Linked DNA regions of Tribolium castaneum. The protein of the gene in region 1 interacts with the protein of each later gene in a biochemical or structural test. Links are inferred from orthologs where the notes say so. Each region holds a gene or a part of one and is shown in the gene's direction. Other genes may lie near its edges.

The links.
Region 2: the proteins of betaCOP (region 1) and deltaCOP form a complex in vitro, tested with the Homo sapiens proteins (2 studies listed by BioGRID). The link is inferred for Tribolium castaneum from reciprocal best matches to the Homo sapiens genes COPB1 and ARCN1.

Annotation. Positions count from the first base shown.
Region 1 is NC_087397.1:6,594,457-6,609,911, forward strand, and holds betaCOP (coatomer subunit beta), read left to right. Parts: upstream 1-6,067; 5' UTR 6,068-6,204; intron 6,205-6,319; 5' UTR 6,320-6,332; coding exon 6,333-6,423; intron 6,424-6,468; coding exon 6,469-7,697; intron 7,698-9,091; coding exon 9,092-9,366; intron 9,367-9,417; coding exon 9,418-10,621; intron 10,622-10,666; coding exon 10,667-10,741; 3' UTR 10,742-10,823; downstream 10,824-15,455. Other genes in the region: uncharacterized protein LOC664374, read left to right, coding at 1,331-1,436, 1,489-1,625, 4,371-5,099; up (troponin T), read right to left, coding at 11,351-11,562, 11,634-11,712, 11,971-12,051, 12,103-12,195, 12,246-12,464, 12,514-12,889, 13,229-13,258, 13,534-13,566 and 1 more. UniProt on the Homo sapiens protein: The coatomer is a cytosolic protein complex that binds to dilysine motifs and reversibly associates with Golgi non-clathrin-coated vesicles, which further mediate biosynthetic protein transport from the ER, via the Golgi up to the trans Golgi network.
Region 2 is NC_087394.1:32,196,682-32,212,010, forward strand, and holds deltaCOP (coatomer subunit delta), read left to right. Parts: upstream 1-7,705; 5' UTR 7,706-7,858; coding exon 7,859-7,861; intron 7,862-7,970; coding exon 7,971-8,010; intron 8,011-8,068; coding exon 8,069-8,292; intron 8,293-8,350; coding exon 8,351-8,530; intron 8,531-9,915; coding exon 9,916-10,127; intron 10,128-10,174; coding exon 10,175-10,336; intron 10,337-10,385; coding exon 10,386-10,596; intron 10,597-10,643; coding exon 10,644-10,858; intron 10,859-10,907; coding exon 10,908-11,112; intron 11,113-11,193; coding exon 11,194-11,283; 3' UTR 11,284-11,450; downstream 11,451-15,329. Other genes in the region: hfw (protein halfway), read right to left, coding at 1,502-1,780, 1,825-1,935, 1,985-2,314, 2,364-2,524, 2,774-3,091, 3,175-3,421, 6,194-6,241; deubiquitinase DESI2, read right to left, coding at 12,448-12,624, 12,684-12,825, 12,937-13,051, 13,096-13,276; heterogeneous nuclear ribonucleoprotein U-like protein 2, read left to right, coding at 14,243-14,384, 14,696-14,886, 14,939-15,085, 15,136-15,329. UniProt on the Homo sapiens protein: Component of the coatomer, a cytosolic protein complex that binds to dilysine motifs and reversibly associates with Golgi non-clathrin-coated vesicles, which further mediate biosynthetic protein transport from the ER, via the Golgi up to the trans Golgi network.

The DNA of each region.
Region 1 (15,455 bases):
ATTAAAAATTAATTAGACTGCGTAATTGAACATAATGCCCACACAGCGTGGTGATTTCTCGTAGACTCTGATCTATCTGATTTATCCGAACGAAGCTCGAGCTTTCATCGCTGATCCGAGCGAGGCCACCTACGAAGGATAAATAGAATTAAGCCCATTGGTAATTCGGCGCCCATGAATCCGCTCACGTCCCATTTTTCCAAAATCTCCGTAAACATCGTAATGATTTCAAAGGGAATAAGTGTAAAAGCACTTGTAAATTTCGGTATAAATAGCGAGGAAACGCAAGCGCGTGCTTTATTCGCTTTCAATTCCACTAACCTACATTTGAACAGTTTGGCAAAAGCGCTCGGAGCTTTGGGACGTCGCAATAAATGTCGCAAAATTCGGCCACGTGCTGCGAGGTGGTGTTTTTTCGCTTAAATAGACCTTCACAGGTGCGTGTTTTCCCGCTTATTATTGACGTGACACGTGTGATTGATGTTGCTTTATTATGATTTCCTGCAAGTAAACACTTTTGAATTTCTCTAAGTCGATCAAAGTTGAAATTTTACCGCGAGGTGGTAAACAATCGGCGTCAAAGGGGGACTTTTAATTAAATCCACATCGATGCCAAGTGTCCGATAAATTGCTTTTCGAGCTTTTGTGCATTTGGAATTTTATTTTATTGGTGCAAGCGGAGCAAAACAATGCCAGGATTGCGACACGAGACTCATTTTAATTGATATTAAAGCTTACGTTTTAATCAAGGTTTAACCAGTTTTGCATGTCCTTTGAACTCCAAACAATAACTCGCCATGTAATGAAACTACGCCATAAATTTTGGGCCCCGAAGAGCTTTTTAGTTCGATAATAATTAATTAAAATTTTGTCTTACGTGACGAGCTTTCCGCCAAAAGCTGTCACATCCAGGCGCAACTTTGTGATGAGTCGTCTAAAGTTTCGTCTCCATTTATACTCCGAAATCTATTTTTGATGCAAGTGCATAAAATTTTGAGTAAGCTTTTCGCACTTTTATGCTCGGAATTGTTTTGGATTGAAGGCTGTTAAAGCGGCCCACCTTGGAGCGAGTAAGGACAACAAATAAAACAAAACAGCGACTTTTCAAGAGTTCAAGTGCATTTAAAACTAACTTTGTAGATAAATACCCGCTGCATTATTCATTCCTTGAACTCGTAAATTCGCACTCGGCTCCCGTCTCAATTATTTTTTTTACAATATTGATCCGTCACATTTCTCGGCAAACTTGTCCGAAAGTTTGATTAAAATTTCCGGTTTTTCTTTCTGGCGTTGATGAGGAAAACTTTATCGTTTCAGATGTGAGCGAAAAATGAACGCAACATCTCCGAAGTCCTCACTGGCCAAGCTCGGCCTCTACCCCCGACCGAAAACTTTGAAGGTCATGGTTTTGGGGCAAAGCGGTGTCGGAAAATCAGGTAATTGCCAGAGCGGCTATTTCTGGGTTTGTTTACCAGGCTTCCGTTCTAGCGATGGTTGTGCGATTTATTACCAAAAGATACATAGGCGAGTACGACCCGACTTTGGAAAAAGTTTACGCTTTCCACACAGTGATTGACAACGAGATGGTTTATTTTGATATCCTTGATACGGCAGGACAACCGCACGTAAGCTTTCGCCCTGTTTGCATGTCCGCTGTGCAAATGGCAGTGCAATTTGTTAATTAAGTTTCGAATTAAAGTTAATTACGCCTAGTTTGTCATAATAAAAGTCCGCGTATTTGTTATCGCCTGGAAGTGGTTGCAAGCGACTTTATTAAAATTAGAATGTTTACAATGGCGAGGAATTAGCAGGTGTTACATCATTAAAGCATTTTATTAACTGTTTATAAATATTTCGGACGTTGTAGCCGATTTATGTGAAAATGAATCGATTTTTTGATCAAACACCACTTATGCAAAAATAATTTTTGCATTTATCAAGTAATCATTTAGTGGCATCTTGTTGCCAACAACGCTGTTTCACGATAAAAATTTCGTCATTATTTTACTCCGTGTAAATAACAAGAATTTAATTAATTCGAATTTTATCAGTATAGTTTTATTTTTTAAACAATAGACGTGTGGTTTCGTGATCACGTAATTGTTTTATTAAATGTGTCTCTGAGTGTTTGAAAAAATCAACTTGACGATAATTGTTACAATAAAAAATAAAATTGCTATTTGGGCAATATATCAAGATGTCCGAACCTGATATTAGAGATAAACAACCGTTATAGATTAAGTATCAAGGGATAAGAAGACGAAGTAACGAAGATTTATGAGTGTACTAAAAGGAATTATTGAATTTCAACTCACTCAACGAACAAAAGCAATTATATCCGAACGGCAAACACACCTAGCCTGAGAAAAAAGACAAAATGGGCCGTTAGAAAGCAAACCTTTCTTATAATAAGCTTACACATTTTGAGAGGAAATTTTTGTAACCTTATTAAATTCAATTAAAAATTATTATTTCAAATTATTTGTATTAATAGCCTCACTGGATGGTATAAAGCATTTCCTTAGTAAAATAAGCTTTTATTGAAAAGTAAACAGCTGCCGTCAGTTGTGTGTCACTTAAAAAACTTGAAATATCACTCTTTCCAAGTAAACTGAATTAATTTCTGATTTAAAGCCTTTCATAAGAGGAGTGAGGTTCCAGCAATATGAAAAAGTCCATTGTTGACTTTAAATAGTTAGAAAATTAATCTTTTTTTACGAAAACTGTATAAACTAATCCTCTGATTTACATAAAATTATTTTCAAGAATACAGAATGTTTCCGAAATGAGCTACAATACAAACCTATCCAATTTTTTAAAGAAACATTCTATATTTTTTTGCGATTTTTGAATATAGCTTTCGACACTGCTGTTTTTAAGAGAAATTGTTATTGGTTTTTAAATTAATGTTTGTTTTTGAAATAATTTGATTTTTTAACAAAAAAAATTTTTTTTTAAATATTACATAAAAACTAAAAATCTTAGAAAAGTGTCCTGCTGAATATATTTTTCATGTTTTACTTATTTATTTATTTTATTATATTTATTTATAATTTGTCTGCGATCCTAATGACATACGCTCAACAACTGATACTGATTTAAGTTTGAACTTTTTCCTTTAAAATAGTGAACGTCCTACATTGCTTAGATTTTTTGTTTTTGTGTAATAATTTTTTAAATAAAATGCGTTATCGTCAAAAAAAAACAAATTATTTCAAAAACTAAACAGAATCGACTAATATAAGTATAAATCAAAATTATCAGAATTAAAAGCTGCGTCCAAAAATGCAATAAAATTTAGAGTGCTCTATTAAAAAAAATTACTTCAGCGTCTCTTTAGTTTTGGAACAGTCTGAATACACACCGCAGTCTGAAGCAGTAACGCAGCTATAATAAAAAAAAATAATGAACAAGTTATGGAGCTTTTTTGAATCGTTGTGATATCCTGTATATATATATATATTAAAATATTCTGCAGTTAATTATAATTATGCTGTTGTAGAATGGCTGACGATTTTTTATCTGAAGAATTGTTGCCTGAGAAAAAAGAATCCGAACAGTTAACAGTTACCGTAAAATTAATAATCCTATTACTGTAAATAAAACTCGAGGGTCCTCCACTAGCAACCATTAAATTAAAAAAGAGAAAGCAATTACAATATTAAAATTATTCTATTAAAGAGAAAACTGATAAAAATGTAACTAGCAATAAAAAATAAAGCTTAGCGCTTCCGAAATACTTTCCAAATACTTTTGAATATTATTAAAAGTGGACAAGAAAATAATCCTAGATTATCAAAAATTCCTAATAAAATAAAGACTAGAGCAGTTTCTAATTCAATAGAACGAAGACAATAAGAAACTTGTAAGATCTTCACTTATAACGCATTTACATCAGAAATTGAAGAAACGAAAAATCTTTCAAATGTTTAACTACAGCGTTTTATTGGAGAATTTAAAAATTCTTAGGCTGCAAAAAAAAGAGTAAAAACAATGTTAATTGTTTATCTTAAAGGAAATCTTATTACAAATTGTATAAGAAATACATATTAAGCTGCAATTAAACAACGTCTTTTATTTTCGCCTGCCAGTCGTCTCTAAAATTTTATGAGTCAAGCATTTAGCAGACTTACATTTTTAGAAGCATTTGCTTAGTTTTGTAGGCTTGCCTTTATTAATCATAAGTGTAATATACAATTTTTTTCTACTTCCTATTTTTGTTGTTTGTTTTTTTTTAGTTTAACTTATCAGAATCTGTTCAAATTATTTTTTCTTAATGTTGTTAATTATTCGGGTTTTATCAATAAACGACCTATTTATGCTTATTTTTATTAATACCACCTAGAATTTAATTATGTAAATGTTTGCAGGAGAGCGAATGTTTGGCTCTGGAGGCGAACATCCGCTGGGCTGAAGCCTTCATCCTCATGTATTCAGTGACGGACAAATGCTCTTTTGACGAGTGCTACCGCCTTAAATTTTTGATCAACTACAACAAGCGCCGCCGTCGCCTGGGGGGCACGTCCAAGGACCCCGTCCTCGACGTCCCCGTGGTCCTCGTGGGCAACAAAATCGACCAGATGGAGGACAGAATGGTGACTCTCGAAGAAGGGCAACGCCGTAGCAAAGAAATCGGCTGTGTCTGCTTCCACGAGATTTCAGTCCGCGAAAGCATCGACCAAGTGTGGTCGGTCTTTCGGGACGTTTGCCGCTTTTGGCGCGTTCAAAATAAAAATCCCAAGATGCGGAGAAGTGGAAGTGAGAAGGAACCGATGAGTCCTGACAGCGTTAAGTTGCTTTGTTCGTCGGCGGGGTCTCCCAGCGGACTTATCCCCAGCTGTAGGATGGGGATGTTCAGTCGGCGGTGGACCGAAGTGGAGTTGGAGGAGGAGGATGAGGAGGAGAGCAAGGAGAGCAGTGCGAGCAGTCCGGGAGAGAGTGTTCCCTTTAGGGAGAGGGCCTCCACGGATGGGCACCTGCAGCAGAGGCCCTGGAGGTGGAGGTATCCGCCCATTGGGACGGGAGGGTCGCAGGATCTGAGTGTCAGGGCTGAGAGGAGGATGAGTATTTCGATGAGAGGGAATAATGCCAGTTATTGAAATGATTCAGTTTTGGATAATTTGACTAAGACTGAGATGAGAGTCTTAGAGGAAACACGCTCGTTTTGCAAACGGAGACAATAAAACACGAGTTTGGGACGAAGTTGTACGGCTTTATCAATTAACCAATGACCACATTTGCTGTGATTTCATGTTTCGTCGTAACATAATCAAAAGATGTATATTTAAATATGTATTTATTCTGTATTAATGTTTTATGGATTTTTATCCAGTATTCATTCCATTGTGATGTTTAAGGTGTTATAATAAAAATACAAAAATAAATTGTGTTTTATTTTATTCTCAAGTTTTTTATTACCCATTTTAATCTCAAAATTCTTTATTTATGTGTTTCTGATTAAAATAAATCAATAGTATATTACGTTGTTAGGAGTAAAAGTCATAAAATCTCACACTCACACTTCGAATAACATCCCTATACCTATTTATAACCCGGATCAGATGTGACTTGTTTCATTGAAAAAATTGTACAAAAGGCAAGTGAAACAACACGTAAACAAAAATAAGAGAATAAAAAAACACATAGACGTATAAACATAAAGCGGAGCATAAAACTGACAGAAATAAAAAAATAATGCGGCAAAAGCTAAAAGTACGTAAAGGCGCCAAATTGTAAACGTAATAATAAAAAAATTCAAACATTTTTTCTGTTTTTTTTAACTCCTTATTACTCGCGGACCATCCTGTATAGCCACAAAAATGGTCAGTTTTGTGACTTTTACCGATAAATTAATTATAATAGGTAATACTAAATGTAAAATGGTGGATGCGCCGGGTTAATTATTTATTATTTTAAATAATATTGACGATAATAGTTAGAAATATTGTCGTTAATATATCCAAAGTTATAATCCTCCAAAATCGCTATTAATAAAATGCATGCAAAATCAAGATAAGTAAAATTGTTTTACAACAACAACTCCATAAAGAATTTGTATTACTGGTTACATAACACGCGCGTACAATAGGTTGCTTACCGGTTCTGTCAAGTGTCAAAATAGGTTGACACGTCGTTGACATTTAATTCCAAAATATTAACATTACGTGTTTTGTGTTAAATAAGTGTTTTTTCTCAGTTAAAGTGGTATGAAAAACCTGTTCTCACACGATAATACAGTTTCGCATTTCTTTTCACGTTAACACTTTTGTTGGTATCTTTCTACGCCCTAACCCTAACTCGTGTCCCTTCCCACTTCCAGGTAAATCTCCACAATGACTGCAGTCGAACAGCCCTGTTACACCCTCATAAACGTCCCCACCGACACAGAACCCTACAATGAGATGCAACTTAAGATAGACCTAGGTAGGTAACCCCCAAGCGCTATCCTCTCTTATCGCCCGTTTCTAGAAAAGGGCGACGTCAAACAAAAAGTCGAAGCTTTGAAAAAGACCATTCACATGATCCTGGCCGGCGAGCGCCTGCCCCCGGGCCTCCTCATGACCATAATCCGCTACGTCCTCCCTTTGCAAGACCACACCGCCAAAAAACTACTCCTCATCTTCTGGGAGATCGTCCCTAAGACCTCCCCCGACGGCAAACTCCTCCAGGAAATGATCCTCGTCTGCGACGCCTACCGCAAGGATTTGCAACACCCGAACGAATTTCTCAGGGGCTCAACTTTGCGCTTCTTGTGCAAATTGAAAGAGCCCGAGCTTTTGGAGCCCCTGATGCCCTCGATCCGGGCCTGTCTGGAGCACAGACACTCCTACGTGCGGCGCAATGCCGTCCTTGCGATTTTCACAATTTACCGAAATTTCGAATTTTTGATCCCGGACGCTCCAGAGTTGATTTCGAATTACTTGGACGGGGAGCAAGACATGTCGTGTAAGCGGAACGCTTTCCTCATGCTGCTCCACGCAGATCAGGAGCGCGCCTTGAGCTATTTGGCCTCGTGCTTGGACCAAGTGACCTCCTTCGGGGACATCCTCCAGTTGGTTATTGTCGAATTGATTTACAAAGTTTGCCACAGCAATCCGTCTGAACGGTCCAGGTTCATCCGCTGTATTTACAATTTGCTCAATTCGAGCAGCCCCGCTGTGCGGTATGAGGCTGCGGGGACTTTGGTCACGCTCTCCACAGCCCCCACGGCGATTAAAGCGGCCGCCAGTTGCTACATTGAGCTCATAATCAAGGAAAGCGACAACAATGTCAAGCTCATTGTTTTGGACCGTCTGATCGCTCTCAAAGACCACCCAACTCACGAAAGGGTTCTTCAAGACTTGGTTATGGATATTTTGAGGGTTTTGTCGAGTCCTGATTTGGAGGTGCGCAAAAAGACTCTTAATCTGGCGATGGATTTGGTTTCGTCGCGAAATATCGAAGAAATGGTCTTGGTTTTGAAGAAAGAAGTTGCGAAAACGCACGATGTTGAGCATGAAGATACCGGAAAATATAGACAGTTGCTAGTCCGGACTTTGCATTCTTGTTGTATTCGATTTCCGGATGTTGCAGCAACTGTTATTCCAGTTTTGGTCGAATTCTTATCTGATACAAATGAGCTTGCAGCCGTTGATGTTCTGATCTTCGTCAGAGAGGCGATTCAGAAATTCGATAATTTGCAGCCGCTCATCATTGAGGTAAGAAAATTCTTTGAAAATTTGAAAAATTGGACGTTTGACGTAAGTCAACTCTCGATTAAGAACGGTTGTTTGGGTTATTTCATGGTTATTTGATTAGATTATTTGTAAGATCTCAATTGTCGGTAATCAAACGTTTTGCTATGCATTTCGTTTGATTATTAATTTTGTTTTATTATTATCTGAATGTGTTTAATCATTGGAGCGTCAAATATCGAAAATGACGCACACTTGATTAATGATTACGCATTTATTTCTATATAAACTGCAAGAAATAATCGAATTTAAATTTTTCTTTTCCGTATAATCATTGATTTGAGTTCTGTCGTGACATAAATCAAGTCACAATTTTTTAAAAAAGAAAAAATACGAACAATATTACTAGTGCGTCCATATTTTATGAATGAAAATCATGAAAAGGTCATCTAATTAAAATATCTGGGTCACATTTCGGTCGATTTTTTTTATGAAAGATGATGCTTTCGTCTTACGTCATTTCCAATGCGATGAGTAGAAGCAAAAAAATTATTAATTAACGTAAGTATTAATACGCATTGTGATTGGCCTGTTTGAGAAAACAACCACTTTGGATTTTTGGACTCATTCCAATTTAGAGCAATTGGTGAACTTCGACTTGGTTGATTTACTTATTATAATAAACATGATTTTTTTCTGATATTTAATACGTGTCTCTTATGTACTTCATCACGTTAGGTTTCTGAAAAAATTATTAAATATTGTTATAAAGCTTTATTAAATTTCACTGTATCTGAGCGTTTTATTACTACGAGTAAAAAAGAAAAGTCATATTATATGACATATTCAAACATGTATAAGAAGCTGGTTAAATCAAAAAAGCATTGCTATGCCGAAAAACATTGTTAATAAAAATTATGGCCACTGCGACACAAAATGACAGCAAACAATCGGTATTATTTACTTCACCTTACGCTCATATTCTTGTGAAAAACGCCGAAAAAATGAGAAAACTTTGCTTCCTTATACCTTTTTCCATATTTTTATCTTTGACGGTTTACTTTTAAATTTTAATTGTGAGACCAAAATTTTGTGATATGGTGAAAATTATCCCAGCGACAGTTTGGGGCCAAGATATAATTAATTAAATTAATTTTAATAAATTTAATTATTTAATGAAGAAAGATTTTAGTTTCGTTGCCCTTAGAATGTTAACGCAACGTCTCTTTAAAATTGAACTATTTTGCGTTTCTTGGTTTATGGGAGCAAAAACTATTGGTAAAACAATCCACAATCACGTAATAAGAAACCAATAATTTTAAATTTTAATCATTTATTAACATTATTACAAAAATTTATATATGTGAAAAAAAGATTCAATGATGCCCGAGTGTTTGTCTTAAAAAAATATTTTCCAGAAACTCCTCGAAGCTTTCCCCAACATAAAATCGGTGAAAATCCACCGAGCCGCCCTTTGGATTTTAGGCGAATACGCAACAACTGTGGCCGACATCCAGTCCGTACTTAAAGCCATCAACCAAACCCTAGGCGAGGGCCCCCTTCTGGAAGCGGAGCAACGTCTAGTGGCCGGAGATTCGGAAGAAGTCACCCAACCGAACCCAACACAAGCTTCCAGCACCCTCGTCACTTCTGACGGAACTTACGCCACCCAATCAGCCTTCAACACGGTTCAGTAAGTAGTCATTTGTCGAGAGAAAAGCCCGGTTTGTAAATCAAGCTTTAGGAAAAGCACAAAAGAGAAGCGGCCCCCACTTCGCCAGTATCTAATCGACGGCGATTTCTTTATCGGGGCTGCGATCGCCTCAACTTTGACCAAACTGGCTCTAAGGTACGGCAGTTCGGTTAAAAATGCGGTTGAAAGGAATCGGTTTGATGCCGAAGTTATGATGATCATGGCCGGGATTATTCACTTGGGGAAGTCGGGTTTGCCAACTAAGGCCATGACCAATGATGATAAGGACCACGTTTTATTCTGCTTGCGGGTGCTTTCGGACCGGCAGCCGAGCATTATCAAGGTTTTTACCGACTTGTGCCGACAGGCACTTAACGACATGTTAGTCGCCAAAGAAATTGAAGAAGCACTCAATCAGAAAGCGAAAGAAAAGGCTGGTAATGTCATACAAGCCGACGATCCGATCAATTTTATGCAATTACAAGCCGACAAGTCGGGCGAATTGGGTGAAAACGTCTTCGAAACGTCCTTGTCACAAGCCTTGGTTGGGGGCCGAGTCGGCGGCAGTGACACAAGCACTGGGGTTAACAAGCTGAACAAAGTGACTCAATTGACCGGCTTTTCAGACCCGGTGTATGCCGAAGCCTACGTCCATGTCAACCAGTATGATATTGTTTTGGACGTTTTGATAGTCAACCAGACCAACGATACGTTACAAAACTGCACCCTTGAGTTGGCAACTCTCGGCGATTTGAAACTCGTGGAAAAACCGCAGCCGGTGGTTCTGGCGCCCAAAGACTTCTGCAACATTAAGGCCAACGTGAAAGTGGCCTCGACCGAAAACGGGATTATTTTCGGGAACATAGTTTATGACGTCACGGGAGCAGCGTCCGACCGAAACGTGGTGGTCCTGGACGACATCCATATTGATATTATGGATTACATAGTCCCGGCCACTTGTAGCGACTCGGAGTTCAGGCAAATGTGGGCCGAGTTCGAGTGGGAGAATAAGGTTTCGGTTAATACGACCTTAACCGACCTTGCGGAATATTTGAAGCACTTGATCAAAAGCACCAACATGAAGTGTTTGACTCCGGAGAAGGCCCTGTCAGGGCAGTGCGGTTTCATGGCCGCCAATATGTACGCAAAATCAATCTTTGGAGAGGACGCTCTCGCTAATTTGAGTATTGAAAAACCGTTCAACAAACCTGATGCACCCGTTACTGGACATATCAGGATCAGGGCCAAGAGTCAGGTTGGTAGCACTGAGTGTGAATCACAGCTGAGTTTGTTGTTGCAGGGGATGGCTCTGAGTTTGGGTGACAAGATCAATATGACACAGAAGGGGCAACAGAGTAAAGTTATCGCTGCATAATTTGTATTTTATGGTCGTATTAATATTAATAAAGTTTATTTGAAAAAATGGCTTTGATTACGGAAAACTCGCTTTTTCTGAATCCAAAAAATAGAGTACTTATACCGTCTCAGCGCCAACTCTTTAAATTAATTTAAATTCAACCAATTCTGAGAAAAACTGTATTATTCTAAAATAAAGTCACTGTGAGAAAAACTAATGACTGAAATTTTCATAAGAAACGTGAGAAAAAAAAGAACATTTTCGCTTCGTGCCGTATTTTTCAAAACGCTACAAAATATTGGCAAAGTGCAAATTGGTAGAAGTTTTTTTTTTTAAATATAAATAACGATAAATTTTGCGTTATGTTTAATGCTTTATCATTTATAAAATTCATTGCTCAGAAAACAGACGATAATGAACGACTGCGCTCTCTGGCGGCACTAAGGAAACTATCAAGGACGGGACCGTTTTATTTGAACGTGGTTTCGTATCCTAACCTTTAGACCTCCGTAGTTTTGATGTAACGATATTTATTTGATTATAAATACAGTTTATTATTGGAAACGAAAATAAAATAAGATAAAAAGTACATCATGGACGTCGGGACAAAACGATGTTCTCGCTTGCTTATTCTTCTTCTTCCTCCTCGTCGTCCTCTTCCTCTTCTTCTACCTCAACCTCCTCTTCCTCTTCCTCCTCTTCTGGCTCGGGCTCGAACACCGGCTCCTTGATGTCTTCATCATCATCGGCGGCGTGTTTGCCCTCTTCTTCGCCCTCAGGGGTCTCAGGATCGCCCTTCTTCTTGCCGGGCCTTTCACCGAACCATTTGGGAAGTTTGGCTAAAATACAACGTTTCAGAACCCGCCCTTGCCCACATTGGCACAAATAAGCAACCAGCAGCAACTCTTACATTTTTGCCTCGAATCGAATTGCCCAATTTTGTCTTTCCAGAGTTTTTCATTGGTTTCCTTGGTAATTTCTTCGTAACCCTGTTAAAACGTAAAACGCACACTCAGACATGGCACAGTACAGTTTTGTGATTAGAAAAAGGACACGAGACAAGTGATTAATAGCAAAATGGGCACAACACAACGGATATGCCCACTTACTTCTCGACCGACTTTCGAACTCGCCCACTTTCTCTTTCCAAACTTTTTCCAAAAGTTCCATGTTTAGGTGGTCAAAGCCCTAACAGAAACGGTCACAACGCAATCATCGGTCCTTTTTTTGACTTTTGTAATACTTACACCCTCAAACAGTTTCTTCTTGTCGTCGTACGATCTGGTGTCGACACGACGCTCATATTTGGACGCTACTTGGATCTTAGGCTACAAAACACAAAATTACAAACACTTAACACAAGAATTAATAACACGTACGGGGTATTTGCCGGTGAGAGCCTCGGGGTCCAAGCCCTTCTTCAAGGCCTTGTGCCTGAGTTGCTGCTTTTGTCTCTCTTTCAATTCTTTAAGCTGTAAAATTACGTTATCCCACTGTGCCAATATTATGTTTGCGGGCTTACATCGTAATCCTGGCGTTTCTGCCTTTCTTCCAAGTCATATTTCTCAGTTTCGAGCTTAACGATGCAGTCCCACAACTCCTGGGCCTTTTCCCGGAGCTTGTCCACGCTGAGGTTGTCAAGCACCAAGGGCTTGATGCGAATGGATAAGGAAATTTTCTTCTCTTCTTCCAGCTGCTCCTTGGTCTTGTTTCTCTCAAGCTGCGCCGCGCTCAAGTTGGACTAGAACCTTGTCATAGAATCGTTCTTACGCACAATTCGCACAACTTACGGAAGCATCACGTTTGGTGATGGTGAAGTTGGGTCCTTTGTTCTTGTTCTGATCTTTCAGGGCTTGCATCATGGCTTGGCGCTTCTTCTCGGCTTCTTCCAGCCGCTGCCTCTTCTCTTCAATATCACGCTGTTTCTTCTCTTCAATCTCGCGGATGCGGCGTTCTTCTTCCTGCTTCTTCCTCTCGGCCATTTTCCTCTCTTCTTCGGCGCGGCTGATCTTGCGCTTGGCTTGTTTCTCCTTCAACTTTTTGAGCTCATCTTCCTCCTTGGCGCGCTGTTTGCGCCATTCGGTGATGTACTCGCGAAGTTGTTCATCTAGGTCGGATCGCTTCTGATCTTGACGTTTGATGAATTCTGGATCGCCAGCTCCTTCCCTGTTTTGTGTGAGAAATTAGCAAGGACTCTCGGGAGAGGCGGTCGCATAAGTAGCGCAAAATTCCTGCCCGTTTAATTTTGGTTTCGAACTAGAAATGAGTGAATTTAGAGGCCAATTCAAGCTGTTATGCGCTTCTATTGTGAGCGGACAAAAATTAATAAGAGAGCGCACGAGAAGCTGGAAGAGTCGCTGGAAATATCTTCTTCTAGTGGTATTATTGCAGAAAACGAACACAGTGCGGAGTTTGACGAAGCCAATCCAAGCTTAAAACGGGTTACTTTACGTACTTAAACACTTTAGTTTAAATAAGTAAAGTTTTAAGCGGTTTTGGACTTACTCGACTTTGGTGGTTGTTGTTGTTGTAGTCCTGTGGGGTACACATCACAAAGGGCAGGGGCGAGGTGAAAGGAAAAGAAAAATTACAAAATAAAAAAATATCTCAAAACTGATGGAACAATTTTTGGAAAAAACTCTAACTACAGTCAGGTTTTACTCTACCAAACAGTGACTTCTAGCAAGAAGGGTTTACTTACTTTCTGTAAAAGAGAAAAGGTTTGTATTAGATGGACATGTGTACAATAGGACATTAGAAAAATCAACGCACGGTTTCAAGTGCGTTTTTGAGGCAATTAGGACACTTACGTTTCTACAACTTCCTCTTCCTCCTCCTCTTCGCTAAAATAATCAAACAGTTAAAAAATGACCGTTTTTACGCCTCTAATAGCCAAGGAAGCCCGAAATAAATAAACCGACAAAAATAAAAATACCGCAAAAGCACCTAATTAGCACCGCTAGGAGTAAAAATACTCACGAGTAGACTTCTTCCTCGTCAGACATGGTTAAAGGCGTTTAGGAAAAAACTCTGGAAAAACAAACACCGTCAAAACCCGGGGCTCAAATGGTGTCTTAGACACCGGTAAATATATTAAGTATTGCCAGTGTTCTCGAATCTTGGACACTAACAAACAATTGGCTATATTTAGGTATTGTCCCGATCCAAGAATTTTCTAATTTTAGACCCGTAATTGAATTTGAGTCAAATTTTCTTCGAGTGCGATTAATTAAACAGTGTTTTAATTACAATGGGACTTTTGTGTGAAAGTCTAACTCCTCGGATGTAATGTAAATTACACCAGGGCTAGCGTGGCTGTATTTGGCAGCGCTACTTGGACGAGTTATTCTTGGCGCGGACGTCTGCGCTTACAGCTCCCAAAATAAATCTAACATAAATCCAGATTTTTACAGTAACAATTTTACGGACAATATTTTTTCAAATGAACCACTTCATGGCTCTAGTAATTAGCGCAAAAGTGGAAAATTGTCGATCTTTGATTCTAACTCGGGTGAGAATTGTCAATAAAATTTTTCGGTTTTTTTTTCGAAAAAAAAAGGCTGGGTTTTTTAGGCCATGAAGGGGTTGTGTAAAAAGTCACTTACAACAAGTGGATGACAAAAAGCGGTCCAGGAGCACCACACAACTCAGGGAGCCCGCAGTGACTGTCTTATCCCCAGGTCAGCTCCTCGGAGAAGAGTCCCTCTTTGCGCGCGCAGAACACCCACACTTAAGTTGCATTTTTATTTAGAAACAGAAATATAGACGAAAAACATGACACTTTTGTGAAATTGATATCTATTTCGTTTCTAAGTAGAGATGGGAGGATTAAGTCGTACACATGAAATGTGTTAATTGCAAATCGCAATTCTGATTGCAATTTACCAAATCTTCATCTCGAAATTGGCTGCCAGATTATGTGTCCATTTATCAGTGTTAAGCTAATTGGGCAGACGAGCGTTTGTGTTGCCAAGAATTTTCATTTTTTTGATATTTATTTGGGAATACAGGAAAGGAAATTTTGTTTGGGTTCATCCTCCTTTTACTCTCCCCTTATAAGGACCGGGCTTAGCCACGATATAGCGAGTAGGGCAGCGCGCAGTCTATTCTTGTTCCTCCCCACTTTTCCGACACAAATTAGAATATCCTTATTTTCAGTTTTTCACGACTTTGCACAGACACTGGCATATTTACATATGGGCTAAATGGGCTATAGCCCAGGGCGGCAAAAATTTCTGACTGATAAAGTTTAGCAAAAATTAGAACAGAAATTAGTCAAAAACAGTTCTTAATTTTTTATTTTATAGAAGATGTGTGAAAAATGTTCAAATATCTGTCAGGTTTTTGGCGATTGAAAAGATTCAGTGATAAGAGGATTCTATGATGAAAGGCGGTTCTGACGTCACGATTTCTTTCTTTCGAAGCTATTATTTCACTTATTTCTTCGCGCAGAAAATTTTGAAAAAACTTACTAGTATTTTGAATTTCCGTTAAAACATAGAACTGGCAAATAAGTTATGCCAATGACTTTAAAAAAATACTTCGGGAAAATGTAACACCGTGGGCTTTTCCATAATTTTGAAAGAGATTAATAAGTTTTTAGCAGTTTCAATTCATATTAAAGAAAATTCAGACTAATGTCTTTGAAAAAAGTCAGAGACAACGTAATATAGAGAAACGTGTAAAAATGGCAGTTTTATTTACAAACAAAAACTTCTTAAACACAGAATAA
Region 2 (15,329 bases), on another chromosome or scaffold:
ATTTAGTGACAAACAAAATACATTTTGTTGGAAAGTAATTTATATTTAAAATTTTCATCGATAATTGCATTTTAGAAAGAAGTTAATTTTTTAGAGCTTCCAAAAACGTTTATCTCAAGTTTTTTTGTGTCAACATTGTTTGATTCTTTATAATAAACTATTTTATCCAAGGTATGAATAAAGAGTAAAAGGATTATAATTTTTATTCAGCATGAAGAATTGGTACATAAATGGACTTCAAACATTTCGTTTTGTTACTCAAGTGTGTACTTTTGTTAATTTTATTGCCGCATGTTTCATTTTGTTCTTTTTCCCTTGGAAATAAGTATGTAAATAAAATGACGTCATTTAAAGATTATGCCTCATAATTATTAGTTTTATATTCGAGTAAAAACTAATAAAAACCTAGAAATAAATATTTTGTTCCATCAATTAGGTAAGGAATTAAAAAAAAGAGTTTGATAAGACACTTTATTATACGAAACAATATTACAAAAGAAACAATATTTATCTATACATTAGCAAACAAGATATTGTACTTAAAGTAAGTAAAATATGCTAAATAAAATAAAAATTTTGGGTAAAGAGATTTCAAACAATTTTTGACCATACATTTGTAAAAACTAAAAAGCTGTGACACGTTTTGATAATTCGTAGACGATTTTTGATTTTGTCCTTGGATGAGTATTACTTAATAGTATAAAAACTGTAAAACGACTACAATTAAATATTTGGACGTGCTTACAGTAAACACAATTAAATTACATTCCAAAAAGTATTAATGATTACAGAGTTCATTTTGTTGCTACCCATACTTAGGCGGTTCATGTATTTTACAACAAATAGTAAATACACACCGGAATTATTGTAAATCAATTGGTATACTTGATATATTGTCTTTTACCACAATTTGGAAAAAAATAAATAAAATAAATATCAAAACAAAAAACACAAACAACTACTATAAATTGAGCAATTAAACAACAAAAATATAAAGGGAAGAGTTGCACAAATAAAGACATACCGTAGATAATGTAAAAAATGAAATATATACAATTGCACATTATTAGGAAAATATTTGCATAAGCAAATAAAAGGGAATAACATATTAGAGGATTAATATTCTGAAAGTGATGTTAAAAACAGTGTTTTCAAAAGAAGACAATAAATAAAAACACATACGGAGCTAAAGTTGCATAAACCTAATGAAGAAAAATAGTTTACAGTAAAAGACATATAAAGCCATAGTTCATAATTTGTAAATAAGATAGAAAATTTAAAATAAATTCGCGAATTTATTTAAATTTCCGCAATTGTACTGTCTTTTCGTATTAGATTTGAGTCTAGAAAACTAATATGACTGTTGGTGTGTCAGACTTTTCGTTTCAAACTTGATTGAGAGCACAAAACTTCCTACACTAATCCCTACTACAGTAAACATTTCACAACCATGATACAAGGCGGAAGCATTAACAGGCACATCGTTGCGACTAAAATAAAACTATTCACATAACCAATCGCATGGTAACTTTGGCATTTTGCTCGCCGGCCACGGCAAATAACCGGAGGTTTTAAAAACACAGTAATCGTAAACGACTTTGGCAATCAGACCCACGAGAAGCACCACCTCTATGGTGATGATGTAGTAGATGTAGTCAGTCCAGTCTTGTTGCGTCTGACAGAGCTTGGAAGGGTTCAAATCTATCACTTTCATATCCATGTTATCACAGTAGATTTCTTCGAAATCGGGGATGTTTTTCTGCTTCGTCAACAGCCACACCTACAATTAAACTAAAATTGCTGACTCAAACAAAATTAAAGTACCTTCAAAACTTTGGCCGTGTTACAATCACACTGGAGTCTGTTCAGACCGAGAAAAACGTACCGGACGTAATTATTCCGGTCCAGTATGTTCGAGAATATGTAAGTTGGGAGCTGAAAGAAAACAATCCCAGCTCATGACTGAAACAATTTACAAATTTACCGATTTCAACTTGTTGTTTCTAAGACTCAGGACTGCGAAACTGCTCAAAAACTGCGACCCCTCCAGCGGGAGAATGGACGTAATCTGGTTATTATCAGCATACAGCTCCCTAATATTCTGGTAGGAGGAGTCGGTACTGAACAGTTCCAGCGAAGTTATGTTATTATTCGAAACGTTCAGAGCTATAGTGTTGGGTGGCAGAGGTGAAGGCAGTGATGTCCAGCTCTGTCCGGAGCAGTTAACAGCCACTGCAATCGTTGCTTGTTTTCCTGACACTAGGTCCAGTCTTGAGGGCTCACAAGTGCAATTTTTGCGGCAATCTTTACGCAACTAAAAGAAGAAATTACAATTCAGCTCGAAATCCTGCTGATTGTACTACCTTATGTGTTCCAATCACTTGTGTAAGAGGGACAGTTTCAGTCGTATTGAACCAGTGAAAGGTTCGGGCAAATAGACAAAAGGAATTGTTTATGTTGCTGAAGTGGAGTTCGGTGCGCTTTAAAGCGTCGAATAGGTTTGAGCATAACATGTGCTGATTAGCTGCAAATGAATAGTTTAAAAGAATAATAATTTGAAAGGCACTATAACTAACTATAATTAAATTTAAGCAATTTCTAGTTCTATTTTCCTATTCTAAGGGCCGGTTTATAGAAAGCTTTGTTAAAATTTAATTCGTTGTTAAGTCAACAACGCAATTGGACCAATCATATTTGCTCAATTTGGTCACGTGATCAGTTAATCACGCACTTAATTGCAGATTAACTTAATGACGTTTCTGTTTCCAAGTACCTGATATGTCTAGAGTTATATTCCCATCTTTTTTGAACCGAGGGACGTCCGATAAATTGTTGTGTGAAAGATCCAAGAAGCTCAGATTGTACAAATTGACCAGAGATCTATTTTCAAAATTGACGATCCCGTTTGAGGATAAATTCAAACAGGAGACTATGGTGTGTTTGGCGAATTCCCCGACTACGCTGTTTATTTGGCCGTCTGTTATGGTCATGTATCTCAGATATTTGAGTTTCCTCCAGTCCTCCACGTTTAGGATGTCCAGACTGGCGTTCCGTATGTGCAGCGACTCCACATGACCGTTGCCACTGATGTCTGTTATTGTTAATAATAACAATAATTTATTAATAATAAATTTTGTAACATTGTTTATAGGAGTGATAAATTAAAATAATTACTTGCGCATGCCAAGCCTTCCGTTAGTTGGAATTTATTAACGTTGCAGCAAACGGCCGCACTTTTGCAGTATGGGAGTTTGCGACAACGGCACTTGCTGTCAGGGCTAGGGCATGCCTCTGCTGGTTGATGGAAACAGTGGTCGGTTACGCAGTTGTCCAGGGATGAGTAGGTGATGTCTTCGGCTAAGCGACTCCATGAGGGTTCGAGCAGAAGACAGAGCAGCAAAATGCTTAGTGTCTTCCACATCTACAACAATTTTTAGATGTTACCTTAAAAAAGAAACTTGAAACTTCAAGATTATTATAGATTATCCAAGATTATTATTATAATTGTTTACGCGATACCTCCCAATTATTTGATTTGACAAATTCCACGGCCGTCACCGAGGTCAACTGGTTACTTGCTCATCTGAACATTAAAAAATAAAGTCCACTCCTTTATTTTTCGCAAACACAATTCAATTTTCCAAACCACAAAACTTTGTGGGTTGAAATGAGCTTTTTCCTTTTATTGCTCATATCAGAATAAATAAAAAACTATACTTTTAGAACATAGCAGATTGAACAAAAAAACACAGCAGATTTTTTAAACTAAATTTAAATTAACGTACTGTATGTAACAATTAATTATTGCATATGTCCTATGTAGTGCCACACAAATGTTTTTAGAGCATTATTATGTAATATTATAATGTCTCTTATCTCTTAACATTTTCATATTAATGTATCTTTAAACATATTTTAATATAATCCTAAAAACAAAATAAAATTAGAAACATTAGATTAGATAAAAACACTTCTTTGTGCATAATCAGTAATCATAATGCGTGAAGATATTACTTTAGAAATTGTTGCTATACGAAAAAACGAATAAATTAAATTTCTCAATCTGCTTTAAAAAAAATACTTCGTGGTTCTGAGCAATTAATTAATAAATTATGAAGTGCTAGGAAAACATATTCGGGGTAGATTTAACACATCAATGACACCTAATTGAAATTTCTATTAATTCTTTTAAGACTGACGGAGAGAACAGTCTTTCCCATAGGTCATTTAATTATTGCTAAAGCAAAAATTTGACAAAAAACAAAATAACTGGGCTTCCAAAACCACCAACACAACTTTGGTTCTAGTATTTCGTTGCAGACACGAAAGTAAAAAGGATTAACAATCTACAGATAATTTTTATTGTGCAAGATATGTAGTAAATGTTCTTCAACTTTATTACTGAAGTTAATCGTTGTTGATAAAAGAAATGCGATCTAATAAAAGGCTTGGATGTAAAATTCCTACCTAACTCACATTTTTGCAAAAAGCAAATTTGAAAATACTATGTACATAGTAATTACGAGTACTGTTAATTTAATACGATTTTTACGGTTACATCTCTATTGTCCGTTACTATCTTTTATGGTAGTTTTTTTTAGAGCTCATTGTACTAATTGTTTGTTATTATGATGCTTATAAATATTTATTATACGAGTAGTAAAGATAGAATAAAACAACTCTTCAAACTACTCAAATATGGATCTTAAATATAGTTTACCCAATTATACGTGGGTGTGAATCTTAATAAAACACCTAAATTAAAATACTAGACAACATACTGTATCAAATATGTAAAAAAAAATTGAGCCGATCGGGATTCGAACTCACACTTTTTGGAAATTCCCGCAGTGATAACCACTAGTATCGCATTCTCAACAGGTGAATATTTTGATAAATATTCTTGTTGCTTACAAGCAACAAGTAGTACGAATTACACCATTTATTGATTGTGATAAATTACAAGGAGCTGTCTTTAATGGCCAAAGAACATGCGACGTAGGTGCGCATAATTTTTAAGATTTTACGGTCAACTGGGATATTATTTCTACTTTTTTAATAAATATAAGTACTGTAATTATTATTATTAATTCACTTACGTTAATTATAAGTCCACACATCAATAAAAAATATTAGTTATAACACTAGAATTAACATTACATTCACATACAATTTTATTAACATTGTTGCGGACAAAATTATTTCATAACAATCACATAAATCAATTAAATATCGCTATAACAGTCAGTGAAAACAATGCAAGAAACACACGTTGCGGAATGACGATAAAAATACATGCATAGGTTTGCAATTATTACGTCGTAATTTTAATTTATCAACAGAAATTTATATTTAGATTGGGTGCACATACAAATCTAATTTTGAACACATTAAAATGTGTCAATTGCTTCCACAGGAAAAAGCAATTTGCTTTGATACAGGATATAGGCAACTTGTAAACAATAGTAAGAGCACTTAGTACTTAGCCATATAGTACTTAAGTGTCAGAGAGGAAGATGCAATGAAACATACCTTTTCACTCAGGTAGAGGAACACAATCAACGGTACACATTATTCTTTGGCCATAGAACTGTTTTAAGCCTTTACTACAAAGTTACACAAAGACACTATGGGACGAGATGTTTTTAACAGAATTAACCTAAACATAACACACTACTATAGCTTTTGCTATGGCCTTGGTACGGCCTTGATGAGGCACACGGAAACGTGAACATAAAATGAACATAATAACAGATAAATATAGTAAACTACTAATGTTGATATCAAGGCGCCATCTATTTGTTCTCCACTCTTTACTCCCAATTATTATTGTTAATTAAACTTTATTCAGTAATTGGATCAATGAAACTCGCTGCCCACACCTCAAACAAACTTCCATTACTCCATTTCAAAAGACCCCATTCAAGGAAAATCAAATATTTTGAATATTTCCTCACACTCTACTTTTAGAACACGCTTATATGACCACCAATACTCGCTCTATATTGCTGGTAGATTATTTTTCAAAATTTAGAACCACCCATTTTCAGTCCTTTCACTCCTACCCTTATTTTTGTATTGATTATTTTACACTTTTATCTATTCTATTGTTCTGTTGCTTAAATCACTTATACAAAAAAAGGAACATTTGTTGATTATTAAAGTAAAGTATGATTAAAAAAAAAACACTCACTAAACTGATGTGTAGTAACAGTAGTCTTGTGAGCTTGTGACTGCACATTATTCATGTCAATTGACAAACATATTGATTTCTTGATGAGACAAACAAATTATAAATCCTCTACCACCAATGTTTTATTCATGAAATAAAAAATGCTTCAAACTCAGTACCTAATCATCAATTTTAACACATTCCTATGATGGATTTACAGTTTTCAGTGCAGTCTATGTACAAATTTTTGAATACACTGTAACCACCTAAACGATAATTTTCAAACTAATCGGGGTATTGGAAAATATCGAACTGAAACACACTTGCGTCAGAAAAATGCCAGCAAATAATTGCTCAACAAGATGTGCAAACTGAAGGAAAATTCAAGAGCCAATCGAAAGAAGAGTAATAAAGTAAAGTAATTATTTAGTTTGAGATATTTACCAAACGCACTATTAATAATGGTTTACAGGTAGATAATAAATAACAGTTAATCGTGCTGGCTGATTATATTTGTTGATTATATCAGCTTAAAGTAATTAAAAGCTTCTTGCTAATACTCGTACCTAAAGTGTAAAAAATTAAGTAAACGAATGAATAACAATATCCGACAAATTATTGTGTTAATAAAAAATTATTGTTGTTTATTTTTCTCACATTTACAATTTTTTTGATTACCATTGATTACCTTTAAAAAATGAGAAAATAATATAATATATCGCACAAAAGTCAGACTAACACACGTTAATATTATTCTAATCTTAAATTTTTGAAATTTGACACTTTACTGTGGCATTTTTGTATTGTTTTCTATCTTTAATTAACATTTGCAGTAGCATACAGGAAAATACTATGTTTTTTTCATAGCCTTATCTTATGACTTTATGATAGACAAAGAATGGTTAAAATTTTTTACTTATTAATCAGAATGTAATAAAAAATAACTCTGGCCTATATTTTCGTGATCTGGTAGCCAAGATAAAAATTTTGGAATGTTTGATATTAAAAAAAATTTAAATTTTCAAAATACTTGCAATTTAATCACGATATTTTATTTAATCATTTTTATTGCACTAGCTATACTTAATACTCAAATAACCCAAACCACCCACCTTAGAAATAAAAATAACTTGTAATTCTAGGCCGCAATTTTTTTTTGATATTCAATCAATTTGTTCAGATACATATCTTTACAATATCATAATTTACTATAATCTATTAAGACAATTTAGTTTGCTGAAATATTCTTAGGCCATAGTGGATAATAAAAAACCGAAAATATTTTTTTTTAGTTAGATACAATTTATTATCTGGTTTATTTCTAAAATAATTACGTTTTTTTTTGCTTTTTTTCACATTCCTGTATTGCTATATTTTAGTAGGAACAAATTACTAAATAGCTGAAGCAACAAAAAATATAAAAATAGAGCAGTTATTGACTTATTTAGTTTGATTTTAAGTAACTTATGAGTAGAAACTGGAGCATTTTCGAATTTTGCGCCTAGAGCTGGTGCAGTGAATCGGCGTAAGGTTGGCTGACTGAATACGGTCACGTCACTGTTTTTCTCATTCAACAGCAAGCACAAGTCAACGTCATCTTAAAAAATTAATAGGGTGTAATGTTTTGTAAAATATTATTTTAGTTTTTAGGAACATAACAGCAACAGACCTTTCACAGTCTCTAAAATGGTGAGATAATCTTTCACACACCACACAAATCCAACCTTTCACAATTCCAATTTAAAATTTCCAAGTTGCCATTTTACGCATTTTCTCACGTTATAACATATGATTTCAGGTGCTCATAGCAGCGGCGGTCTGCACTAAGGCCGGTAAAAGTAAGTACCCCACATAAACCACCGAACCATGTGTTGCAACCTTTCTCTGCCTTTCCAGCCATAGTCTCTCGGCAGTTTGTTGAGATGACCAAAGCCCGCATTGAGGGTCTCCTGGCGGCTTTCCCCAAACTTATCCCAACAGGAACACAACACACCTTTGTAGAGACCGACTCGGTCCGATATGTATATCAGCCACTTGAGCGCCTTTACATGCTCCTGATTACCACAAGAGCTAGCAACATTTTGGAAGATTTAGAAACTCTGAGGTTGTTTGCGAAAGTGGTAAGCTGTCCAGACCCATGGAAGCCACAAAAACATCCTCACATTGTCATTATTTTAGATTCCCGAATATTGCCGCTCATTGGAAGAAAATGAAATTGCGGAAAACGCATTTTCCCTCATTTTTGCGTTTGATGAGATTGTTGCTCTTGGGTACAGGGAAAGCGTCAATTTGAGCCAAATTCGCACATTTGTCGAGATGGATTCACACGAAGAGCGGGTCTATCAGGCCGTCAGACAGGTAATAAAATTGCTAAACTGGTAAAATCATTTATTATCAAAGTTTGTACAACAACGGACACGGCTATTATTTCAAATTTGCTATTTCATGATTAGATTGCCTCACAGAAAATAAATTAACAACAGTTCTAGAAATTGTAATGCCAAAAAGTCGTAATTCCAGTTGGCAATACTGAATTCTAATTTTAAACAATGTAACTGAAGTATATTTCTGGTTAAGGTTTTGGATTCTGTCATCAGTGACAAAAAAAGGGAATTTTTTGGTTAAAAATTATTAAAGCCAAGAAGTTGTAATTTCAGATGGCAATACTGACTTTTAATTTTTAACCATGTAACTCAGTATATTTCCCGGTAAGATTTTGGATTCTGTCTTAAATGAAAGCGGTTTGAAAGAAATAAACAAAATGACAAGTTTTCAAAGATTTTGTGTTAGTCACAGCTCTTAAAGTAATTTTGGTAATAAAGCAAATAACTCAGTATTGCCAATAAATTTTTTAAGATGTTAAGTAAAATTCCTCCCAATTTTAAATTTTTATTTGAGGTATAAAATCAGATATAATAAATTTTTCGACACATTATTTCATAGTGACCCAGTAGAAGGTGAAATAAAAATTAATTTGCTGTTAAAAGTTAATTTAACAGTTAATTTGGTAAGTGATCACTGATCAGCTGTTCTAACGTTTAAGTGAACGAATTCATCGCTAATACCTGTCTCACTATTTTTTTTTGTTACCCTGATGGATTTTATGTTGAAAATTAATAATGGTATAATGAACATAAAAAGAATTGCTGTAAAATCTAGAGTTCTTATAATACCATAATAATATTCCGTTTCACATCAACATAAAGAGACTATGCTATTGTTTGTATAACTTGTTGATATACCTACCAGGTGAATAAAGAGAATGAAATCTAACGTGTTTTTTTTTGCTTAAACTATTTACTTTTTGGAAAAACTACTAGCAGTGTGATTAAAGAAAATGTTTATTTTTTTGTATGTGTAGTTTTTGAATTTTTTACGACCCACTTATTTATCCACTGGTTTAAAAACTATGAAAACTTAAAGACAAGCGTTATTAAATTTTTAAATTGCTTTTATTTACAATAAATTCAAGATTTAAAGTTTCACGAAAGGAAAAACATCTTATTCAGACAGAATGTTTAGCTTGGGCATAGAAAGCCATTTCCGATATTTCTGCACTTTTAAACCTCCTCACGGAGGTCTTAGGGCGAATAAAATAGAAACAGAAGACATGAGACATCTAACATTTGATAGAAAGCATAATATTTCTTTTAGAGCCCTTTCCTATAATTGAATTAAGGCATGCTGTTTGTATAGATTCGAAACCAATGTAATTTCTGATTTACGAACTGACTCCTCTTTAGACACAAGAACGCGAAGCTAAAAACAAAATGCGTGAGAAAGCTAAAGAATTGCAACGCCAGCGAATGGAAGCCAACAAAAAGGGCGTCAAACCATCATTTGGTAGCAGTGGAGGCTTTGGTAGCTCATCTGGTTATACTCCAGCCCCTTCAGTCGGCGATGTTGCCAATATTTCAAACGATATCAAACCACCAGCTTATTCCTCCGCTCCTCAGTATGTTAAAAACATCCAAAAAATTTTTTTTTAAATTGATTTAATAGGAAACCTTCGACTCGAGGAATGAAACTGGGTGGCAAAGGCCACGACGTTGAGTCTTTCGTAGACCAGCTTAAATCCGAAGGCGAAAATGTCATTGCACCAGTTAATAACAGTATTTCACAAGGGGGAATGAAAACACCAGCGATCAAGTCCGATATTAATGAGTAAGAAAATAAACAGAATAGAGTAGAAAGTGACTTGAATTATTTCCAGTGTTCACTTGAGACTGGAGGAAAAACTAATCGTTCGAATGGGCCGTGACGGCGGTGTGCAACAATTCGAGTTGTTGGGGTTGGTGACACTGCACATTGGGGACGAAAAGTGGGGGCGAATTCGTGTCCAGTTGGAAAATAAAGACACGCGTGGCATCCAGCTCCAAACTCACCCCAATGTAGACAAGGAACTTTTCAAACTGCGTTCCCAAGTACAAACAAACCAAAAAATTATTGTTGATTAATTTCGTTAATTTAGATTGGGCTCAAACAACCATCCAAACCATTCCCGTTGCACACAGACGTCGGTGTCCTGAAATGGCGATTGCAAAGCACAGATGAGAGTTTAGTGCCTCTCTTGATCAACTGTTGGCCGTCGGAAGTGGGCGATGGCAGTTGCGACATCAATATCGAGTACGAACTTGCCGATCCGAATTTAGAGCTGGCTGATGTCAATATTTTGATTCCGTTACCGTACGTTCATAAAATGTGATCCCAGTATTTTATTGATGTATTATTTTAGGATGGGTTGTAACCCGGTTGTGGGCGAATGTGATGGCTCATACACGCATGAGTCAAGACGTAACCAGCTAATATGGAATCTACCTATTATAGATTCAAGCAATAAAACTGGATCGTTGGAATTTAGTGCGCCCCGATCTATTCCTAACGACTTTTTCCCGGTGACAGTTTCTTTTAGTTCGAAATCTGCTTACGCAAATATTAAGGTGAGTTTTCCTGTTTACGTCACCAGCACGGCGAGTGCGTTAGTAATAGGTCGTGGTTTTAAAGACGTTTTCTCGTTTCAGATTCTTGATGTATTAATGGTGGACGATGATTCTCCTGTTAAGTATTCTGTTGAAACTAGCTTGTTTCCCGACAAATATGAGATAGTGTAAGTGTCACAGTAGGTTACGATAGTTAATGAAATTATATAATAATAAAATTCACTTGTATAAATACTACTAATATTTTATTCGTTCTTGCTTTTTGTACAAAATTTTAAGAAGTTTGTTTTAATTTTTATCTATTATATAAATAAAATAAGTCAGGAGTATATTTATAACCCGTTGTTTCATTCCCGCCAAATAAAAAAAGACTTGCTTGAATAAAATTTTATTAAATAATAGTTAATCACAAATCAATTATGAACTACACAGAAAAATCAAAAGCAAAGTGCATTTATTTTGGCAGATTTTCTAATACCTTTTGAGCCAAATAATCCGTTGCATCACAGGTTACTGTTTTTTTTGGTGCGAAAATCTATTTCATGAATCGTTTGTACTGTTGTAGAAATATAAACATTGACAAACACAGTCTTATATTCTTGGACAACACAGAAGGTCCCCTATTCAACTTCAGTGAACAAAATAAATTAATTTGTGTCAACATGTCTCTTTTATTTACAATTTATGAACACAATTTTTACGCTTAAAGTGATTCAACGCAAATTTACGGTCGCAACTGCAAGAAAAATTGTCACTCTGAAAAATGTACGACACATTTGTACTTCGTCTATCATTTTCAACTGTCCTAGAACTAGTTCTAAAGTATCTTACACAAGTGACCTAGGGAATCAACCAAAAATATATTACAGGTCACTGCACAATTATTATCGGCATTTCTCTTGAAAAAGTGGTGTTCTCGTAACACGCAAAACCAAGGCCAATTCTCAACTTTTGTCTTAAAATTGGTTTAAATTTTTCCAAGAGCAATGTCGAAATATTTAACGAGTAATTTCCTATTTACTTCTGTGAACTGTGAATTTGAAATTTAGTTAATTTCAAAGTCATAGGCCACTTTAATCACGAATTAAATTGAAAGCACGGTGTAAATTAAAAATTATTTACAATGTTCACGATTTCTTTGGCTTGTTTCGTTAAAAGACAAATGCAAAACAATGAATAGGGCAATCTCCACGGCCACCACGAAACAATACAATAAATAATTGCAAAACGGGTTAAAAGTTAAATACAGATGATTACTTTAAACAGATAAAATTATTTTCTTATAATACATGTTTACCACTTCATTATTTAACGTCCCTACAGATTTGGCAAGGGTTAATAGGGTGACGTTGATGATTCTGAACAAGTTGAGTCTTTCCTATGGTTTAACGAATGTTGCAAGGCCATTGGCATTAGCCATTCTTTGGGTAAACAGCGCTCCAAAAATGGCACCCAACTACTAAAGTATGCTAGTCTGTTCACCCACGGCGGTATATCTTGACCACAAAGAATCTAAAACAAGGGATGCAATGACGTCAAATAAATATTTTCAAAGATAAAAGTTCTCCAACCTTGGTGAAAGCCCCAGAGAAGTGATTACAGTTATTATTCATTAGGTGGTAGCGATCCCCGCGAAATTCCTTTCCGAGTTCGTTTTTTATTCTTTTGACTTCTTCCTCCGTGAAATCGGTGTAGCCAATGTGGATGGTTTGCCTGAAAAGGTTTTCAGTCCATCACTCAAAGGTTCATTACTCCGTTTACATTAACTGATAACGTCAGCAATATATTTTTATGCCAACACTGGCAATGTTTAATTAAGATTACCTAAATCTGAACTGATCTCCTAAATCCCGCTCATCCCTGGGATTAATTTCAAATATGCCAGTGAAGGGGTACTGGTGCCCCCCATACGCATATTCAGTCCCGTAAACCTCCACTCCTACAATAATTGTAAGCAGCGAGAAAACATTATTGGTAAATTACCAGAGTGGAACACGCCAAGGCCTATGTTAGAAGTATACTCGTTGATCTTGTACATATCATAGACGTTCAGCAAGACAGGTTCACGAGCCATTCTGTTGGGAAGAAGTTCATCAGAGCCCGAGTCTCGAGTCACACTCATACAACTGAACGGAAGGTTGCAAGTTAGGCCATTAGAAAACATTCTGAAGCGACAATTTCCTGTTTTAAGGGGCCCCCAGTATTAAATATGGTGCACATACCCTGAGTTTGATCTTTTGTAGAATGGGGGGAAGAGGTTCAAAACACACTACCAATAAAGTTTTTAGTTCATAACGCATCAATGCAACGAGAAGGGAAGAATGTTCTGTTATAACGAAAATATTACACGAAATTAATGCACAAAGCAGGTTATATTTTGACAACTCTGACGTTTGACATTTATCTACCGGAAGCGCGGCAAAAAGTGGTGAGTAATGCTGGCGAACGGTTGTAACGGCACTTAAATCGGTTACAAAAAATACAACTAGGATGTTGGATTATATGGTGTTATCAAAAAATAAAAAAATGATTAAATAATGATAAATAAAAAATGATTGTTATGCAACACACAATACACATGGTTGAGTTTATTAATTAAAATTATTAATTCGATAAAAATTGTAGATAATTGATTAGAAATGTGATAGATTGATAAAACATATCACAAGTTAGTGTTCCTGTCTGCCAACAACGTTTAATAAAAATTTTTGTTTAAACTTTCAGTAGGTTAATTGATTTTGCCACACTTGTTGATAACTTTTACCCACACTGCATTTACGCGGAGTTTTATTATAAAACTTATTTTATTACTTTTAGGCCTTTTTTGGCAAAAAGTAGTTCAAAGAGGATGTATGTGAAAGTAAGCACGTTAAGATAGGTGGGCATGGGTGCCACAAGTTAAATTCTGAATGAGTTACTTATGATAAGAAACCAAAATTTTGATTTATTCTTTTCTTTTTTTCTAAATTCAAATGTAAATGGCGGGAAAGTCGGAGAAAGCGTACGCATGCGTTGCCGAACCAACGCATCACGTCCGCCATTTGCAAAACTAGCGCGTGCTTTCTGCGTGTGTGTGTTAATATTTTGTGTTTAGATTTTTACTGTGAACTGCTGAAAATCTAGTAGAAAAATGAGTTCAACACTGGACCCTGCCAAGTTAAAAGTGGTAGAATTACGTGCAGAACTCTCAAAGCGTGGTTTGGATTCAAAAGGAAACAAACCGGCGTTAGTCAAGCGCTTGAAAGAAGCCTTGGAGGAAGAACTCAAACAAGGTTAGTTCTGGGGCTGTTCCGCACAACTAGGGCCCCACAGCTGGTAAACGCGCTCACTGAGTGGTTTAAAACCACTGTTTATCACTCTGTTTGTTTTAATGTTTTTAAGATGGGTAGTAGACTTGCCACATTTGTGTACAGTTTAATTATCTATTATATTACGAGATGTTAGCGATAGTTAAAACACTAATCATTGTAAATAGTCAAAATCACCAGATTTTAACAGTTTCAAAACAATATCTTTGCTGTGAAGCAGATAAGACATGAAGTAGATTTTGGCGGGAAATTTAACTTGTGTTTTCTCACAACAGAGTTACCAGATACTTCAATTGCTGATACGTCGACGGAAGATTTGGATACTTCGCAAACTAAAAATGATTCCGTTACCGAAGAATCGAAAGTACCTGATAAGGAACCTGAAAAAACCGAAGCCTGTCCACTACCACCAAAAGAACAACCACCAGTGGAGCAACCAGAAGCCACAACAGAAGAAAAAATGGATGTAAGTGGTTTACACCGCTCGTAAAATTATCGTTCAATGCTTGTCGTTTTAGACACAAGAAGCGCCTCCTGCAGAACCCGTACAACAACCTGCACCTGAAGTTGAAGCACCTAAACCAGAAGAAACCGAACCTTCTGAACAGTCTGAACCAAAAGAACTTAATTCCAATTTAGAAGAGAATAAGGAAAACGGGGAACAGGTAATTGTGGAATATCGCAATTTTCATCACTAAATTATTTACACTGTTAGGATGAACCCAAGTCGCGGAAATCACGCTGGGGTGGTTCTGAAACCGACGGTTCTGAAGCTCCGCCAAAGGAGGAGGTTGAGAACAACCAAGCTGAAAGCACTGAAGCACCAGTCAGCGAAAATAAAGACGGTGAAGCCAAGGGCGAAAAGCGAAGACGTAGTAGTCCATCTCCGGACAGATCTCAACGCCGACG